Linked DNA regions of Macaca fascicularis. The protein of the gene in region 1 purifies or fractionates together with the protein of each later gene. This does not show direct contact. Links are inferred from orthologs where the notes say so. Each region holds a gene or a part of one and is shown in the gene's direction. Other genes may lie near its edges. The genes, in order: BACC1, BPTF, SMARCA1, HMGXB4 and SMARCA5.

Region 1 (4,310 bases):
GAAATGGGTAGCTGGGCCTTGTTTTCCCAGTAATCCACCCACCGCCACTTCAAGAAGAAATGATACGAAGAAGTGCCGATTCTCCCTCCCCTCTTGCGCACTGTCCCGTGATGATGACGCCTCCAGGGAGGACGATAATCTGGGTTCCTGGGAGAGAAGGCTTGGTCACTATTCCTACCCTTGCCTCGGCCACTTGTCTCAATGTCACCACCTCACGCCCTGTTCCAGGTGGCTGAGTCCGAATCCAGTAACCACCACCTCGTTTTGGTTCATCTTAGGCACGGGTGTGGTAGCAACATTAGAAATGGGAGGGGTTTACGAAGTGAACTTGAGGTCAGGTGCCTGAATTCAACAACCTACCCATTCCCCTTTTCCAGATAATGCTCGGAATATTTTTCAATGTCCATTCCGCTGTGTTGATTGAGGACGTTCCCTTCACGGAGAAAGATTTTGAGTAAGTATTCGGGTGGGGGAGGCGGGCTGGGATCAGGTGGGAGGTGGCGAGGTCAGATTACGTCTGGGAGGTCGGGTGCTTGGGGCCCCTAGGTTAGGGAACAGGGAGAGGACAGCTGCTTTCTTGAGAATGTGGTTAGGAGCTAGGGAGTCAGACCTCAGCGGCCATTCCAAACCCACCACTTTAGGTGTGGCCTCTTTACGTATTTTACTTTTCTGTGCCTCTCAGTCCACCTCTGCAAAATGGCTGCTATGACAGATCTCACCCCATAGGATTGTCAAGAAGATTGAATAAAGTAATACACGTAACAGCGCCTAGACAGGTGCTGGGCACATACTGCTCAGCAAACGTTGGCTGCTATTAACGTTTGACACCTTTGCTTCATTCCCACCCCCAGGAATGGCCCCCAGAACATATACAACCTTTACGAGCAAGTCAGCTACAACTGTTTCATCGCCGCGGGCCTTTACCTCCTCCTCGGAGGCTTCTCTTTCTGCCAAGTTCGGCTCAATAAGCGCAAGGAATACATGGTGCGCTAGGGCCCGGGGGCCCTTCCCCGCTCCAGCCCCTCCTCTATTTAAAGACTCCCTGCACCGCGTCACCCGGGTCGCGTCCCACCCTTGCCGGCACCCTCTGCGGGACTGAGTTTCCCGGGCGAGAGACTGAATCTCTTCTTCTCCCATCTCTGGCATCCGGCCCCCGTGGAGAGGGCTGAGGCTGGGGGGCTGTTCCGTCTCTCCACCCTTCGCTGTGTCCCGTATCTCAATAAAGAGAATCTGCTCTCTTATGCCCTGTGTCTGTGCTTCAGTGGGGGCGAGCACGGGGCTGAGGCTGGAGGTCGGCCTCTGCCTGGGGAGTCCCGACCCCTGAGCGGAAGTGGAGTGAAGTGGTGCGGAAGTGAGGCGAAGGCTTCCCCCTTGGCCTGGGCGCGCCAAGCTGTCGAAGCGACTGCATCTGATGGGGCGGGGAGCCACAGGGTTGAGCCTATCCGCTGCGGGAAGGGCGGGACTTCCTGCGCGGGGGCCTGAGCCGCTCCGTCTCCCTGCTCTCCGTGGTCCCGGCTCGCGTGTAGCGGCGGCGGCGGCGTCTCCGTGAGGAGGCGCGCGGGGCCATGACGTCAGCGTCCACAAAGGTTCGACCTCCCCCGCGGACAGCGCTCCCTGGCGGCCACGGGAGGGCGGGCCCCCCACTTGGCTCGCGGCTCTTCCGCCCCGGGCGGGGGGCGGGCGGGAGCCGAGCCTGGGGTGGGGCTAGGGGCTCCAGGCGGGACGGGGAGGGCGGGCGCCGGCCCCCCGTGACGCTGCCCCGCCCCCAGGTCGGAGAGATCTTCTCGGCGGCCGGCGCCGCCTTCACGAAGCTCGGGGAGCTGACGATGCAGCTGCATCCTGTGGCCGACTCTTCCCCTGCGGGGTACGTGAGCCCGGACTGGGACGTGGACGCTGAGAGCGGGCGCTTGGACTCGGTCACAGACACGGACCCTCTCTAGCACAGGGACAGACGTTAGTTTCCCTTTGTGCCTGGCACAGCACAGAGTAGGTGTTAATAAATGATCGTTGGATGAGGGAATGAATGACAGATAAAAATACAGACAGGCCTATGGCCCAGACTCCTATTTCACAGTTCTCCCTGCTGCGAACGGGTCGACCACAAACCACCGCCACTCCCAACCACCCCAGTTCATGGAATTCCCCCAGACGGCTGCAGGCTGTTGGTGGGTCTGTTTGAAAAGCCCTTCTTGGCGAGTTGGTTTCAGTGTGCTGTGTACAGCAGCCGTTTAACGTTCATGGTGGAAAGGGGTGTCTAAGGTGGAGGTGGTTGTGATTTCTTGTGATTGGGGTCCTCCAGGTTCCCGCAGGGCCCTCAAGAGCTTCCCGCCCGTCCCCCGCCCCTATGGAGGACCTCTTTATGCATCCGTGGAAGGGGTCCCAGAAGTCGGAAGGAGGCGGCTGGTTGACTGTGGGATGCATAGCCTGTGGGCTGGCTCCACACCCCCCCTCCCATTTTTGCTATCCCCCCTCTCCCCTTCTGACAGTGCGAAGTGGACGGAGACGGAAATAGAGATGCTGAGGGCTGCTGTGAAGCGATTTGGGGACGATCTTAATCACATCAGCTGTGTCATCAAGGAACGGACAGTGTGAGGGAGGGTGGCTGCCAGAAAAGGGCGGGTGGGCAGCCTTCTTCCTCCTTACCCAAGGTTCCATCGTCCTCAGAACTCCTTTCCAGCTCAGCTGCTTCCCTACTTTGTCACTAGTTTTTTAGAATGCCCTTGAGAACTGAAAGAACAGAATTGTCACAGTTGGTCAGAAGTTCCTAAAATGCTGTGGTAGTCCTTCCAAGAATGTGAATTTAGGTTGCCTGAGATGCTCAGTTATTGTATTTGATGATGGAAGTCCCCTGGTTATTTATATAAATTTTGGGGGACTCCACTGCAGTGTTTCCAGGGATATGGTGATCCTGAACTAGTTGATCAGTAAATCCCAATCCACCTGTAAATCACCAAGCCTTACCCGATGTCTCTCCCGGAAGAGAATGAGGAGATGGGCCTTTCCCACTACTCATCTCAGGGACTCCACTCTCCACATTCCACCCACCCTGAGTGAGTGTAAAACTTTGGGAAAGTGAGAACCCTCCCAATGGGCTGGGGCCCCGACCTGGATTCTTTTCAAGGGACTCCCAGAACCCCTTCACCTCCCCTCCCTTCTTCTGTTAGTCTCTCTGATGACTCCTTTCCTAACCTCTTCTCTCTTTTCTTCAGGGCTCAGATAAAGGCCACTGTGAAACGCAAGGTATATGAAGATTCTGGCATCCCCCTTCCAGCTGAGTCACCCAAGAAAGGGCCCAAGAAGGTGGCATCTGGTGTCTTATCACCTCCTCCAGCTGCCCCTCCTCCCAGCAGCTCCAGTGTCCCCGAGGCCGGGGGTCCCCCCATAAAGAAACAGAAGGCCGGTGAGGGCTGTGGACTTGCTACCTAGGGGTTAAAAGTCCATCTGAGGTTCAGTGAGAGAATTGGGCCTGGGTCAAAGAAGGGTCAAGCTCTCTTCCTGTCCCTGTGGAGGTTCCCAGAGAGGGGCAGAGGGGAGGGGAGGCACGAAGCTTTGGGAAGCTCGGGGCTGGGGGAGAGGCCGTCAGGGGAACCTAGAACCTAGCTTATGCCCCCTTCCCAGATGTGACACTCAGTGCTCTGAACGACTCCGACGCCAACAGTGACCTGGTGGATATTGAAGGGCTAGGAGAAACTCCTCCAGCTAAGAAACTCAACTTCGACCAGGGTAGGAGTCCTCCTCCTCCCACACAGCTGACAGGGTGGGGGAGAAAGGGCTCACCTGGATGGCAGGGCACGGTCTCCGCAGGGGCCCCTCCCTCGTACAGGGGTTTCGGAAGAGAAGGTGCTCTCATACACAGCGCAGGGCATTGGGTCAGTACGTAGCAGGGTGTTTCAGGGAGCTGGGAGTGGCCTCGGAAGCACACTGGGGGCTCGCTCCATCTCGGCCCATTTTACTTCCTGTTCCAGACAGCCTGACCCTGGATTCTGGCCTTCTCATGACCTCTGCTGATCCTCCTCTCCTCTCCTGCTGAGCCTTCCACCTCTGACCTCTCACTGTTCACGCTGGACCTGTGGATCTCCTGGGACTCCGAGCAAGGCCTGCACGAGAGAGGGCTGAAAGGCTGCTGGGGCTGCCACCTCGCTGTGCCCGCATAAGCATCTGCCCCCGACCCCCTTGACCTTCATCTGATGGACATTTTTATACAGAAAACAATAAAGATTTCCCTCTCAGCTTCGTGCTGTCTGCTTAACATTATTAGCAGGAGAGGGCTGTTCCCTCTTCTCTCCTCGGCCCGTGGGGGCTCAGCCCCT
Region 2 (3,513 bases), about 67 Mb from region 1:
TGTAACCAGGTGATGAAGTATATTTTGGATAAGATAGATAAAGAAGAAAAACAGGCAGCAAAAAAACGGAAGCGTGAAGAGAGTGTGGAGCAGAAACGTAGCAAGCAGAATGCCACTAAGCTGTCAGCTCTGCTCTTCAAGCACAAAGAGCAGCTCCGAGCCGAGATCCTGAAGAAGAGAGCACTCCTGGACAAGGATCTTCAAATTGAAGTGCAGGTAAGAGGGCATGCCCTTTTCTTCTGTGTCCAGTGTTTAGCATCTAAGGTTCTGCTTTTTTCCCTTGCCTTTTTAATAAAGCTTCAAATTTCAGTATGTTTTCTGGAATTTGCCTCTGTGTACGTAGAGTAAAAAGCAGTGCGACGTGTGTGTCTTAAGAAACAAGTCAGAGCTTTTATAACTAAATGTATAGTTATATTGTGTTCTCCATACTAGCGACTCTGAGAGGTGAGCTTGTTGATTGAAATGTTGTAGAACTCTGAGAACAGCTTTTCAAGTCTATGACATAGTCTGGCCAAAAGTTAATTAGGAGCAGAGCTTCATGAGAAAGGTACGGAGACGATGAAGTAACGTTGAAAGAATGAAAAATAACATGAGTCCATTAAATAAGACAAATTCCACCAGGATGAGGTGGCTCGCTCCTATACTCCCAGTACTTGGGGAGGCCAAGACAGGCAGATCACTTGAGCCCAGAAGTTCGAGACCAGCCTGGCCAACATGGCAAGCCCTCGTCTCTACAAAACATGAAAAAGTTAGCCAGATGTGGTGGCACACAGCTGTGGTCCCAGCTTCTCAGGAGGCTGAGGCAGGAGGATCACTTGAGCCTGGCAGGTTGAAGCTGCAGTCAGCCCTGATGGCACCACTGCACTGCAGCCTGGGCAACAGAGCAAAACCCTGTCTCATAAACAAAGAAAAAAGAAAAATTTCTTCTTTGACTTGTAAATGATTCTGTAGGTATTGCTAACCTGCCTTCGAGAGGAATTTATTAAAAAATGAAAGTAGACTGGCTGTGGTGGCTCATACCTGTAATCCCAACACTTTGGGAAGCCAAAGTAGACAGATTGTTTGAGCCCAGGAGTTCAAGATCAGCCTAGGCAACATGGTGAAACCCTGTCTCTACAAAAAACACAAAATTAACCAAGCATGATGGCGTACACCTATGGTCCCAGCTACTTGGGAGGCTAATGTAGGATGATCACTTGAACCCAGAAGGCAGAGGTTGCAGTGAACCTTGATCACACCACTGCACTCCAGCCTGGGGAACAGAGTGAGACTCTGTCTCAAAAAAAAAAAAAAAAAAAAAAAAGTAGGGCCGGGTATAGTGGCTTACACCTGTAATCCCAGCACTTTGGGAAGCTGAGACGGGCGGATCACAAGGTCAGGAGTTTGAGACTAGCCAGACCAATGTGGTGAAACCCTGTCTCTACTAAAAATACAAAAATTAGCTGGGCATGGTGGCAGGCACCTGTAATCCCAGCTACTTGAGATGCTGAGGCAGGAGAATAGTTTGAACCCAGGAGGTGGAGGTTGCAGTGAGCTGAGATTGTGCCACTGCACTCCAGCCTGGACAATAGAGTGAGACTTCGTCTCAAAAAAAAAAAGTAGACATCTATTTATGCACATATATATATAACTTATACATAATTACACAGCTTTTTAGAAGAGAAGTAGGCTATCAGACATTTCAAGGCCGGGCGCAGTGGCTCATGCCTGTAATCCCAGCACTTTGGGTGGCCAAGGCAGGTGGATCACCTGAGGTCAGTTCAAGACCAGCCTGGCTAAGATGGTGAAACTCCGTCTCTACTAAAAACAAAAATTAGCCGGGCGTGGTGGCTGGTGCCTGTAATCCCAGCTAGTCAGGAGTCTGAGGCAGAGAGAATTGCTTGAACCAGGAAGGTAGAGGTTGCAGTGAGCCAAGATTGCGCCACTGCCCTCCAACCTGGGCAACAGAACGAGACGCCGTCTCAAAAAAAAAAAAAAAAAAATCATAACATGTCCTAAACTTTTTAAGAAGGTGAGAAGGCCGGGCGCGGTGGCTCAAGCCTGTAATCCCAGCACTTTGGGAGGCCGAGACGGGCGGATCACGAGGTCAGGAGATCGAGACCATCCTGGCTAACACAGTGAAACCCCGTTTCTACTAAAAAATACAAAAAACTAGCCGGGCGAGGTGGCGGGCGCCTGTGGTCCCAGCTACTCGGGAGGCTGAGGCAGGAGAATGGCGTAAACCCGGGAGGCGGAGCTTGCAGTGAGCTGAGATCCAGCCACTGCACTCCAGCCTGGGGGTGCAAAAAAAAAAAAAAAAAAAAAAGCAGGTGAGAAATAGGCCAGGCACAGCAGCTCATGCCTGTAATCCCAGCACTTTGGGAGGCCAAGGTGGGCAGATCACTTGAGCTCAGGTGAAGGCTGCAGTGATTCAAAATCATGCCATTGCCCTCCAGCTTGGGCGATAGAGCGAGACTGTCCCCCGCCCCCCAAAAAAAGGTGAGAAATAGTAAGAAAATATTAACCAGACTAATAATGTTACCTAACTGTGAAACATTAGAGATCTTCCAGTTAAAGTCAGAATCCTCAATGATGCCAACAATCGACATTATTATTTAGCATTTCTGGAAGTTCTGGCAAATGTGTTAAGCCAAGAAAAAGGCAAAAAGACAAAAAATTGAGGAAAGAAGACAACGTTGTTTTCATGTGCGATATGATTATTACATCAAAACCCCAAGAAAATAGTGATTACAATTTATAATTCAAGGCTGGGCATGGTGACCCCACCTGTAAATCCCAGCACTTTGGGAGGCCGAGGCAAGCGGATCATTTGAGGTCAGGAGTTCAAGACCATCCTGACCAACATGGTGAAACCCCATCTCTACTAAAAATACAAAAAAAGGCTGGGCACAGTGGCTCAATCCTGTAATCCCAGCACTTTGGGAGGCTGAGGTAGGCGGTTCACCTGTGGTCAGGAGTTTGAGACCAGCCTGACCAACATGGAGAAACCCTGTCTCTACTGAAAATACAAAAAATTAGCTGGGTGTGGCCTGTAATCCCAGCTACTCAGGAGGCTGAGGCAGGAGAATCGCTTGAACCCGGGAGGCGGAGGTTGCGGTGAGCTGAGATTGCACCGTTGCATTATAACGTGGGCAACAAGAGCGAAACTCTTGTCTCAAAAAAAAAAACAAAAAAATTCAAAAAAGTAAGCCGGGCATGGTAGCAGGTGCCTGTAGTCCCAGCTACTCGGGAGGCTGCGGCAGGAGAATTGCTTGAACCCGGGAGGCGGAGCTTGCAGTGAGCCTAGAGTGCACCACTGCACTCTAGCCTGGGCGACAGGGCGAGACTCTGTCTCAAAAAAAATTTTTTTTTTTTTTTTTTTTTTGAGACGGAGTCTCGCTCTGTCACCCAGGCTGGAGTGCAGTGGCGTGATCTCAGCTCACTGCAAGCTCCGCCTTCCGGGTTCCCGCCATTCTCCTGCCTCAGCCTCCCGAGTAGCTGGGACTACAGGCGCCCGCCACCTCACCCAGCTAG
Region 3 (3,513 bases), on another chromosome or scaffold:
CTGTTAACTGGTCCTCGAATCGTCTCCCTCTCTTACTCACCTGTGTTGTTGAGCTTGACCAGAATCAGTGTAGCTGCTGAAGCATATGGATTTTTTTTACACTTACTGGTTTATTATAAAGGATATTGCAAAGGATACAGATGAAGCGTGTAGGGCAAGGTATGGGCCAAGGGGCGCAGCGCTTCAGTGCCCTCCCTGGGCATGCCACCCTCCAGAAACCTCCTCGTGTTTAGCTATCCAGAAATCTTATTAAAAATAGGTAAATATGTCTAGCAAGTTTTCTATATGTAGTATATAGGACTTTTCTAACTTCCAAATAGGTTCAGCTCTTAAAATTATAATTTGAAACAAGATGTTTAGAATCTGGAGCATTTTTTGTCATTGAAACAATGGCAAAGTAGGTTTAAGTTTACAAAGTAGGTTTAAGTTTCTATGATAGCCCCTGCCCCAAATCTATTTAACCTAACCACTGAAATTCTGTTTTTGCAATAGTAGGAAAGAAATATTACAGTAACAATAAATATACTAAAGATTAATAATGGCTAGGAACAGCTTTTAATTTATCTAGCATGCTAGTGCTTGAAGAAATCCAGATTTAAGTAGAGAGATTTTTTTTTCTTCTGGAAATCTAAAAGGGTCTTCTGGGGGACTTTAGAGGTCAGTTGTATTGAGTTTTTATTACATATAACATTAAGTTTATGAACTTCCTTTTCCTTGATACCAGCATGACATTACTATTACTCTGAACATTTAGCACATAAATTTAGGGCATTTGGAGGCTTAGGGGAAAAAATAGATTGAAGAGAGAAATTTTAGCATCAAGAGTTGAATGAAAAGAATGTAAAAGGGTATGTGCAGAGAGATTTTTAAGAAGAATTTTCTTCAGAAGATAGACAGGGAGATAACATCAGTGTGTGTGAATTTGCAAGAAAAAATGTGATTTAAAAAGATTGTCCTGTCAGACATTCTTTCAAATTTGACACCAGGCCAGGTGGCATGACTAGCTCAGGACTATTTAATTGCTGCCTGCCAGGTTGGGGGCCATGTCACAGGGTGGGGACATTGCAATGAGTTTGTTGTAGTTGGTTACAGTAAGAGAAGAAATGTATACAATTGGCCACCCTTGAATATACAGTATCTTGTACATAGCAGTTGTTTAAATATTTGTTGAATGATTGAGTGAATGAATAAATGAACACAGGTGCTTATAAAAATCAGAGTGCTCACATACCTTTCTTGATAGGCTCTAAAAATGAAAAGCTTGAGGATGTGGAGTATGTCATTAAAAGGCCTTTCATTGAAGTCATAAGATGTGACATATTAATACAGCCAGATTATTTGGCTCATCTATAAAATCTGGTTGAGTGACTTGAAGTATTTTTCAGTGTGTATGCAATTAAAATCCCAATGAGGTTTTTTTTTTTTTTTTTTTTTTTTTTTTTTTTTTTTTTAATAATGAGAAAAGGGTATTCCAAGTAAGTTTAAAAACACACTATTGGTCATTGGAAATACCGTAAGATGATTACTGAGTGATTCCAAAAGCAAATGACAATTTCAGGAGAAATGGCTGCTCCATAGAAAAAATTTGAACAATCTGTTCATAATAGCTTGTTTTTTTTGTTTATTTGTTTGTTTTTGAGACAGAGTGTCACTCAGTCACCCAGGCTGGAGTGCAATGGTGTGATCTTGGCTCACTGCAGCCTCCACTTTCCGGGTTCAAGCAATTCTCCCGCTTCAGCTTCCCGAGTAGCTGGAATTACAGGCGCGCACCACCATGCGCAGCTAATTTTCATATTTTTAGTAGAGACGAGGTTTCACCAGGTTGACCAGGCTGGTCTCAAACTCCCAACCTCAGGCAATCTGCCCACCTCGGCCTCCCAAAGTGCTGGGATTACGGTGTGAGCCACTGCGCCCGGCTCATAATTGTTTTTGCATGCTAGGAAGCTATATTCACAGTTTATATATTGCTCTCTCCTGTGTCACTTTATGTGTTTGGTCCCTTTTCTATCATGTTTGAGTAAAAAGCCTATCTTACATCAGTGTCTGCACCATCTTTTGAAATCCTAGTCATTTGGGATGGATCATAAGATTCCATACTATTTCATGAAGGGAACATTGCTAGCCTAAAACCTTGTTGAGGTCTTATTTTTAAGTGAAAAGTTAGTAGTATTTAATAATTGAACATATTATATATATAAGATGAATGTGAATCTTAATTTTAAGAAGTACAAGCTTACTGCATTATTTCCCATTAATTCCTTATTCTACAATTCCTTGGATTTATTTGCTTAAATAATAGGATTGTAAAGAAATAACTCTGTTTTTCAGCTGTATTTTGGGAACGTTGCAATGAATTACAAGACATTGAGAAAATTATGGCTCAAATTGAACGTGGAGAAGCAAGAATTCAACGAAGGATCAGTATCAAGAAAGCCCTGGATGCCAAAGTACTATATTTTATGTCAAATTATTATTAGATCGTCTTAATTGATATGGTGGTCAGCTTTGACTTCTTACTGCACGTTCAATTAAAAGCACTATTTTGTTTAAATACACAGATTGCAAGATACAAGGCTCCATTTCATCAGTTGCGCATTCAATATGGAACCAGCAAAGGAAAGAACTATACTGAGGAAGAAGATAGATTCTTGATTTGTATGTTACACAAAATGGGCTTTGATAGAGAAAATGTATATGAAGAATTAAGACAGTGTGTACGAAATGCTCCCCAGTTTAGATTTGACTGGTTTATCAAGTCTAGGACTGCCATGGTATGTATTCCTTTCTTACCGATTTCCTCCAACTTTATATTTTGAAAAATTTCAGACGTCATATATCCTTCACCTAGATTCTTCAATTAACATTTTGGCACATTGGTGCTCTCTCTTTCTCTCTCTCTGTATATATATGTATACATATGCAGCACCTATACATACCTGTAGAATCTATACTTTGTATTAAAAATATGGGGGCATCTATATTCTATATTCTGAAATGCATATCTATAGTTTATATTTGTAAGTATACTTAACTATATTTCTGAACCATTTGAAAATTACTGACAATGTGAGTGTTCACCTCTAAATACTTAAGCATATATCTCCTGAGAATAATGACATTTTCTTACATAACCACAGTCCCACCTGAAAACATTGATTCAGTAATGTCATTTAGTATACAGTCCATGTGTAAGATTTTCCAGTGGTCCCCAAAATGCTCTTTATAGCTGTTTTTTTAAAATTGATGATCCTACAAGTTTCACACATTGCATTTCGTTGTTGGGTCTCTTTAATCTCTTTTAATCCACAACTTTTTGGTTTTCGTGATCATGACTTTTTAAAGGTGTCCAGGCTAGCTGTCTTGTAGAATGTCCCACATTGTGGATTTGCCTCATTACTCATTGTAAGATTTAGGTTCAACATATTTGGCAAGAGTGCTATGGAAGTGATGTTATGTATTTTTTATTGCATCCCATCAGAAGGCACATTATGTCATGTTGTCACACTGTTGGTG
Region 4 (3,513 bases), on another chromosome or scaffold:
GTCAGCACCACTTGGGTGGAAAGGGGAGGACAGTAGTTTCCACTGAGAAACTTTCATCCTTAAATGCTGGAACATGAAAAACTGGCTACATTATGTATCTTGCCTCCTCACATTTTTATCTGAGGCCTGACCTTATGTCCCCTTCGTTTCCTGTGAAAAGGCCCTTCGAACAGGCAGTTCTCCAGTTTATCTTTAAAACAATCCAGTTAATGTAGTTTCATTACTCTAGCTTCTGTTACTTTGACCAAATCCATTCTTTATTTCACTTCTCAGAGAAGTGAAGAAATGCTTTATGTTTCTTTTCTTATAAATCGTTCTTCGTAATGCTTCATTTTCCTATTCAGGCCTACCTGTACATTGTATTTTATCTGATTTGTGCAAATAAGTCTTTTTAATGTAACTTATGAAAGCTTCCCTTGTTAATCAAATTCATCTTTTCTTTCACAAAAGTTCCATGCTTCAGTATTGTCCACAGTTGCCTGAAGGAATTAGTAATGTGTCATTTAAGTGTCCTTCAGTATTTCTAAGTCCCCTTATAATAATGAAGGTCAAATTAAATTTAAATAAATGATCAATTAGATTAACTTTGTAAGCATCTGACTTAACTGGATGAGAACATTGCCAAAATATTTAATATGTAATTTTAAATTTCCTGAAGGACTTGTGACATTACTTGTTCTTAAAACTTTTAAAGAACTTTACCTTGGCTGGGCACGATGGCTCACACCTGTAATCCCAGCACTTTGGGAGGCTGAGGCGGGTGGATCATGAGGTCAAGAGTTCAAGACCAGCCTGGCCAAGATGGTGAAACCCCCATCTCTACTAAAAATACATAAATTAGCTGGGCGTGGTGGCAGGTGCTTGTAATCCCAGCTACTGGGGAGGCTGAGGCAGGAGAATCACTTGAACCTGGGAGGCAGAAGTTGCAGTGTGCCGAAACTGCCACTGCACTCCAGCCTGGGCAACAGAGCAAGACTGTCTCAAAAAAAAAGAAAAAAAAAAAAAAAAACTTACAGTGCATTTTATAGCATTGTTATCGTCAAAGTCAAAATGGACATATAAACTCAAATGCCAAAAAAAGATTGTAAAAATTCAATAAAACTCAATACAATATCTAGAACATTTAAATTATAGCAATTCTTATTAGTGAAGATCTTATTAATCATAAAAGTTTTATGACCAGTGGACAAATGATAAATATCTCCATTTTCACCTAGCCTTTAAGAAAGCCTTGGTGGTGGTGACAGCTGTCACATGGTCAACTGATGTAAGGAGTGTACCTGCTTTTACAATTACATAAATTTGAACAAATTCATGTAACCCCCCCCCAAAATGCAAAAGAAATTATGCTCTAAAGATATTTAATATTCCTATACAGTTAATCATTTCTGTTTAAATTACAATGCAATAGATGTTACCAGTTCACCAATCCAGTTGGTAGGATTTTATGGTCTTCAAATGTTTGGTGTGATCTGTCTTCTCTGCATCTTGCTTTACCTGTGTATTTTATAACCAAGATTGAACCTATCCCTCTAACTTAATGTTGGTTTCTACCCTGTCTCAGTGTTGTCAGTCCTGTTGGCATTTCAGAAATTCTCATTAATTTTGAAAATATTTTTTGTATTGGAGGTATTTTATATACTTCCCCAAATGACAACTTTAATTCATGACTGAAATCTAATTAAGCCTAGTGTACTTCCTGCAGTATCAACCCCACTATATTTACAAAGAGAATGAGGAGGTGACAAGACACTCCTTTATTTCTTGCTGCCCTTCCAGTCGGCCCTTGGATCACTACACATTTCCATCTGGAAGGTTGCTTCTCCTCTGATTTCGCATTACAGGAGGGTTTTCCTTCTTTGTTTCTCAGACCTGGTCCTGTAGACGGGAAGGAGCCTGGACACAGTGACACATTCTCAAAGGCCCTGCAGGACCACCATGGCTTATGATGACTCCGTGAAGAAAGAAGGTATGACCCCATAATCTGAGAAGCATTCCAAAGGGGGTATCCTCTTCAATCCTTGCAGCCCATGGATATAGAGACCAGGACTGGGCACCACAGCCTGGACTCCCAAGTGATGGTCTAGAGCACTGTTATGACACTCAGCCTCCACGCCATCCCCAGACTGGGCCCATGGAAACGAAAACCAGGACAGGGGTTCCAACACGAGAGTCTGAAATATGAGTCTCTTAGTTTATTGGGGTGATCCCCTGCAGCACTCTTGGTCCTTGCCAGCTCCAGTGTGCAGGAGTCTGGGGATAGGAATCACATCCTGGACTCCCACAGAGAGCAGCACAGCACATGAATCATGAATCCTTATTCTTTTCAGCCTTTCGTCTGCAAGTCTGTGTCCACCTACCAAATCACAACTAAGAAATCATATCTGAGGTCGCACATGGGGCCTTTGCATAGCGTGGAAACATTGTTTCTTCAGGTTTGATTCTTGTATTTGCAGCCAGGTCATCAAGAAATATTCTGTTCCCCTGGGTCTAGCCCTGTATTTCAGTGGACTTGATTGAAACATTGTTTTAATTTGGAAATAGAGGAACTGTTGCATTACCTGCATGGTGATTTGGTCGTTACTTACTTGACTTTCTCATTTCCTTTCCCAAATAAACCTGTGCTTCTCAGATTGTTTTGATGGTGATCATACCTTTGAGGACATAGGACTTGCAGCTGGCCGAAGCCAACGAGAGAAAAAACGTTCTTACAAAGATTTTTTAAGGGAAGAGGAAGAAATTGCTGCTCAGGTCAGGAATTCTTCCAAGAAGAAGTTGAAGGTAAGTCCTAAAAATTTAAATTAGGAAAGTCTTAAACTACCTTTTTTTTTTTTTTTTTTTTTCTGATGCAGAGGGTTTTTTTGCTCTTGTGGCCCAGGCTGGAGTGCAGTGGCGTGATCTCTGCTCACTGCAACCTCCACCTTCCGGGTTCAAGCGATTCTCTTGCCTCAGCCTCCCGAGTCGCTGGGATTAACAGGTTCCTGCCACCAAGCCCGGCCAATTTTTGTATTTTATTAGAGACAGGGTTTCACCATGTTGGCCAGGCAGGTCTCAAACTCCTGACCTCAAATGATCCACCTGCCTCAGCCTCCCAAAGTGCTAGGATTACAGGCCTGAACCACTGCACCAGGAAAGTCTTAAACTACTTCTTACCATATTTCCTAATATTTGAAGAAGGAAGTGTTTTTTAATAACTTTAGAAAAGAAAAATAAAATGTTGTGTGCATCTGTTTTTATTATTTCTTGTGCTTTGTTTCCCAAAGTCAGAAATCATCAAAGACAAGAGTGGTTCCAAACTGCATTTGCCTCATCATCTTATTATTGGTCAATTCTTCTTCTTTAATTATAGGATAGCGAACTTTACTTCTTGGGGACGGACACACACAAGAAGAAGAGGAAGCACTCCTCTGATGATTACTACTATGGAGGTGAGGATGGGAATGGGCAACAGGTGGGATAAACACATCGCTGGTTCTTGGAGTCGGGGTAGGGGAAAGGGATCCAGATGTTGCT
Region 5 (4,303 bases), on another chromosome or scaffold:
TTCTACATTAACGGTTGTTAAAGGTTAATAGTTCATTTTCTGGGTGTACGATAGTTTTAAAGACGTAACTTTTAATACTGGATTCAGCCTACTGCTGTTAGCTTTTTGCAGTTACATATGAAGAGTATGATGAACATCATTGTAGGTATTTATCTTTGCACATATCCTTAGACATTTCCTTACAGTCTAAGAACTAGCATTTCTAGTGGAGTGGGGACATTTTTCCAGATGTCAATTAAAGAATTATTCCATTAGTTAAAAAATTTGCAGGCTATATATTCAAAGGAGATCCCTTTTGTTTGGAATTCAACATAACCAGTTAGCTCAAACCTCAACTCTTGAAAAATGTGCCTCCTTTATTCAACAAACATTTATAGAATACTGGATATGACGAATAAAAAAAGATAAATAAGACCCTGTGCTGGGCAGATAATCTACTGTAGTATGCAGATTTGTTATCAAATAGACTACAATGTATTTAAATTTTGCAGGAGATGAATGCACAAGGCCCTTAAGCTACATTGAAGGCTGCCTAAGGCAGTATACAAAATTAGTGCTGAACACTTGAGAAAGTGCGTTTTAATTTTAATGTTTGATGCTTGAGGAAAAGATTACATCATACCACCTATCTTCCCCACATACTATTTGTGTTTCTCACTTACATGGTAGTGTGCATGTTATTTGCTTACCTTTAGCATATAAATTCAGAAGAAATAGCATTTAACTCTGTGCTTAAAGAGGATATTTAGAAATAACTGACGCAGCTAACATGAGAAGGCAAAAAAACAAAACAAAAACCAAAAAAGAAAAAACTAACGGACTTTTTTTTTTTTTTTTTAACAAAACAGTGAGACGTCACTTGGGGTAACCATAACGTCGTCAAGGCTGTGGCGTCACGCCTCTAAGCGGATACGGCAGAAGTTTTGGGGTCAGACACAAGACTTCCAAGTTTGAATGGGCAGCGCAAAACTCAGGCAAGTTTTCCAGTAGTGCCGCCGATCCCAGCCAGGCCCGGAAGACACAACGAGAACCGTGAGCCGTTACGAAAGCCTAAAACACTGAGCTCGCGTCCTGCCAGACAGCAGACGCACAAACCTACGCCTCCGAGCGCTCCCTCGAGGTCCCGCCTACTCTTCTCTCCCGAGCCCGCTAGAGGTCTGGAGGAGGAGGGGCCAAGGGTGAGGAGGAGGGGCCAAGGGTAAGGAGGACAGTATGAGCATGCGCACTCAGTACCCAGTCAGTGAACCAATAAGGAATCTCGCGAGGGTTGAAAGTCGGTGGCGTAGGTAGTCGTCCTGGATGCTGGCGAGATAGACGATATCTGCCAGAGGAAGAGGAGGAGGAGGCGGCGAAGCGTTTTCCCAGCCTCAGTCTCTGTTTCGTTTTCCTTTTCCCTTCCCCCAACCCTCCGCCCTTCTCTAAATCAGCCCGCCTTCCTTGACCTCAGTGACCCGTCTGGCCCCGCCCATCCTCGTCGACGTGATTCCCGCCGTGAGGTAAGCGCCGGTGGAACCTAGAGCCCCGCGGAAGAGCAGAACGTCTGGGAGTGTGTAGCTCCTGGGCCCGGCTCAGGCCCGTCGCGGAGGCGCGGCGCGGGGGAGCGCTCGGGTGGGAGTCTCGCTCCTCCACCAGTTTATTGCGACGTAGCCACCCGGGCCTAGGCCTCCCCGTCCATCCCCGCCGGACTCGGCCTCTGGCAGCAGCGGGTGACGCAGACGGAACATCATGTCGTCCGCGGCCGAGCCTCCGCCACCCCCGCCTCCCGAGAGCGCGCCTTCCAAGCCCGCAGCCTCGACCGCCAGCGGCGGGAGCAACAGCAGCAACAAAGGCGGCCCCGAGGGCGTCGCTGCGCAGGCGGTTGCGTCTGCGGCCAGCGCGGGTCCCGCAGACGCCGAGATGGAGGTGAGGGCAGCTTGCGGCGTGGGGAGCGGGCGCAGCGGGGAGGAGGAGCTGGCTCCCTCGCCGGATCGTGGCGATCGGACGCAGAGCCGGGCTTCTCTCTCTGCACCAGACTCAGCTTCACACCCTGTGGATACGAAATGATGCTCTCACCCTTGCTCCCTTGTTCTTAACCTATTGGAGCCAAGCAAAATGGATTTCCGGCTCCTCACATTGAAATTATTTGTCTCTTTCGTGAATCTTGACAAATCTTTGAATGCTCTCAATGAACAGATGTTCTTGGTTACCGTGGCCCAGGGGGACCCATCTTTTTTTCGCACTAGACTCCCATAATTCCCTCTCCTACCTCTGAATGTGGTTTTTAGTTTCCACCAAACTTCGGGGAAGGGCGAGGAGATGACCCCTTAGGAGCGGGATGCACGGGCAGGGTGAAGGAGGCATTTAAAAGCAGCGCGTCCGAGGACTTGGGCCTCTTTTTCTTCTTCCCGGTCTTTGCGGGGGCGGTATCTGTTCTGGGCAGAAACAATGGCGAGAGCTGGATGGCCGAGTGCGCAGTGGGGATAAGCGGGGCGCAGCTGCTTCTGTGAAGGGAGAGGAAGCCCCTCCCAGGCACTGTTCCACTGGAAGGGAAGCAACCAAGGCAGCAGCAGCTGTCTCGGATCCCCCATCGAATTTAGGGGGGATGAGTAAGTGTAGGAATGAATTAGAGAACCAGGCGCAGTTGATTGGCTCTCAGTCCGGCACTTTTTCTCTTTTTGGCGTCTCGCCTTAAAAAAAAAAAAAAATTAGTACCACTCGGCTCCCGAGACTTCTGGGTTTGGGTTGTCCAGAGGATGCTGACGGTACTTAGGGGGCTGGAAAGATGGGGAAGCTGCCAGGCGGGTAAATTGGATATGCCTCCAGGCTTTGCAATATCTGGGGAAAAAGTAATTGCTCCTTCCAATTGTTATTCTTGGCCTTCGACCTGTTTTGAAATATTTTGTAAGTCGGAGCCCAAAGATTTCTGGGATTTTCCTATCCTTAGAATGAAGGTAATACTGCTCCGAAGATGAGTCTTGACGCACAATCGTTGTACAGTGGGGAAATGGGAGCGTAGTTTACCATTGAGGCATTTGGCACAGTAGTTTTATTTGGGTAGCTGGGGTTAGGTAACATTAATGTTAGTAATCTTTTAAAGAACTTTTAGTGTGAGGGTAGGTTTAGTGACATAGGAACTCCTGATGGTTCCTGTAGTTTTGAGTGATTAGGATAAGATTTCTTTCAAATTAAAATATATTCAGTGTTGCCTTTTTTCCCCTTAAGGAAATGGTTCTCTTGGGTTACCAGGGCTCTTTAACTTGAATTCGGTTCCAAGGCTTAAGGGGTTTGACACAAAGCAATTGTGTGTAAATGTGCAGTTCTGGACAAAAATCTGTTCATAGTTATCCTCAGCCTCTCAAAGGGGGGTCTGCCATCCAAACTTTGGAAAAATAAATTTTCACCAGAGGTCTTGTTAATATCTGAATACAGTAATTTTAAGCCAAAAGCAAGTCAACTTTTTTGACTTGAAGTTGTTATTTTAAATGAAAATTGATTTTAAGTTTAAATGTGAGTATAGATGATGTCACTACCGTATTAAATTAGTGATATTTTCATTTGCCAGATGGGGAATTTGAGTTCTGCTAGGTAGAACCTGTGATAAAACTCAGGTCTGCCTTTAAAAGTGAGCCTTTTCCCACCCATCTTACTCTGCCGTGTTCTTACCAAAAAAACGTATTTGGCAGTTCAATTTATTGAATAACATAGTTATTTTTACCTTCCTAGTATAGAAGTATTAGGAATTTTTTTTTTATCCATCTTATCACTGACTCATTTTGTTGTTGTTGTTGACAGTGTGATTTTTTTGTCTTAAAATGCACCGTCAGTTTCCTGTTCAGAATCACTGCAATTCATGATCAAAACTAAGTTTGAGCACACATGCCTAATATATGTCACAACTTAATCTGTTTTGCACTTGGAAAATGAATATTTTATAAATGACTTTTTCTTGTTTGGAAGTATGATCTAAGGTGTTTTTCTAAAATCACAGAATAAACTCAGCATTCATGAATTTTGTGTGTGTGTGTGTGTGTGTGTGTGTGTGTGTGTGTGTGTGTGGCAAAGCTGATTTTCCCAGAAATAGCCTGCCTATGTATTCAGTTACTTTTTTTCTTTTTGCATGATACTAACAGGTCAATGGAGCAACTTGTTTTTTAGTTATCCTTTTGGCAATGTGGAACTCTTCTGTGTTCATCCTCATCTTTATTGACTAGATTGATATGCCAATAATGATGATGTCAAAATGCCTGGAAGTCAGGTTTTTTGGTTTTTTTTTTTTAAACTGTGGAAGAAATAATGACTACCGTTGGAAAGCACATTTTATTTT

Evidence for each region.
Region 2: the proteins of BACC1 (region 1) and BPTF purify together in Homo sapiens (affinity purification with mass spectrometry; 5 studies listed by BioGRID and IntAct, with this or other methods). This does not show direct contact. The link is inferred for Macaca fascicularis from reciprocal best matches to the Homo sapiens genes BACC1 and BPTF.
Region 3: the proteins of BACC1 (region 1) and SMARCA1 purify together in Homo sapiens (affinity purification with mass spectrometry; 4 studies listed by BioGRID and IntAct, with this or other methods). This does not show direct contact. The link is inferred for Macaca fascicularis from reciprocal best matches to the Homo sapiens genes BACC1 and SMARCA1.
Region 4: the proteins of BACC1 (region 1) and HMGXB4 purify together in Homo sapiens (affinity purification with mass spectrometry; 4 studies listed by BioGRID and IntAct, with this or other methods). This does not show direct contact. The link is inferred for Macaca fascicularis from reciprocal best matches to the Homo sapiens genes BACC1 and HMGXB4.
Region 5: the proteins of BACC1 (region 1) and SMARCA5 purify together in Homo sapiens (affinity purification with mass spectrometry; 5 studies listed by BioGRID and IntAct, with this or other methods). This does not show direct contact. The link is inferred for Macaca fascicularis from reciprocal best matches to the Homo sapiens genes BACC1 and SMARCA5.

The regions. Positions count from the first base shown.
Region 1 is NC_088390.1:7,050,973-7,055,282, forward strand, and holds BACC1 (BPTF-associated chromatin complex component 1), read left to right. Parts: upstream 1-1,505; 5' UTR 1,506-1,565; coding exon 1,566-1,586; intron 1,587-1,769; coding exon 1,770-1,864; exon of another isoform or gene 1,865-1,986; intron 1,987-2,486; coding exon 2,487-2,588; exon of another isoform or gene 2,589-2,727; intron 2,728-3,209; coding exon 3,210-3,400; intron 3,401-3,618; coding exon 3,619-3,723; intron 3,724-3,777; exon of another isoform or gene 3,778-3,965; coding exon 3,966-4,030; 3' UTR 4,031-4,229; downstream 4,230-4,310. Other genes in the region: RNASEK (ribonuclease kappa), read left to right, coding at 378-454, 852-993. UniProt on the Homo sapiens protein: Component of chromatin complexes such as the MLL1/MLL and NURF complexes.
Region 2 is NC_088390.1:74,382,092-74,385,604, forward strand, and holds part of BPTF (nucleosome-remodeling factor subunit BPTF), read left to right. Parts: coding exon 1-216; intron 217-3,513. UniProt on the Homo sapiens protein: Regulatory subunit of the ATP-dependent NURF-1 and NURF-5 ISWI chromatin remodeling complexes, which form ordered nucleosome arrays on chromatin and facilitate access to DNA during DNA-templated processes such as DNA replication, transcription, and repair.
Region 3 is NC_088395.1:135,737,532-135,741,044, reverse strand, and holds part of SMARCA1 (probable global transcription activator SNF2L1), read left to right. Parts: intron 1-2,328; coding exon 2,329-2,447; intron 2,448-2,558; coding exon 2,559-2,771; intron 2,772-3,513.
Region 4 is NC_088384.1:16,408,463-16,411,975, reverse strand, and holds part of HMGXB4 (HMG domain-containing protein 4), read left to right. Parts: intron 1-1,870; 5' UTR 1,871-1,938; coding exon 1,939-1,969; intron 1,970-2,632; coding exon 2,633-2,781; intron 2,782-3,349; coding exon 3,350-3,428; intron 3,429-3,513. UniProt on the Homo sapiens protein: Negatively regulates Wnt/beta-catenin signaling during development.
Region 5 is NC_088379.1:148,622,849-148,627,151, forward strand, and holds the start of SMARCA5 (SWI/SNF-related matrix-associated actin-dependent regulator of chromatin subfamily A member 5), read left to right. Parts: upstream 1-1,502; 5' UTR 1,503-1,725; coding exon 1,726-1,902; intron 1,903-4,303. UniProt on the Homo sapiens protein: ATPase that possesses intrinsic ATP-dependent nucleosome-remodeling activity.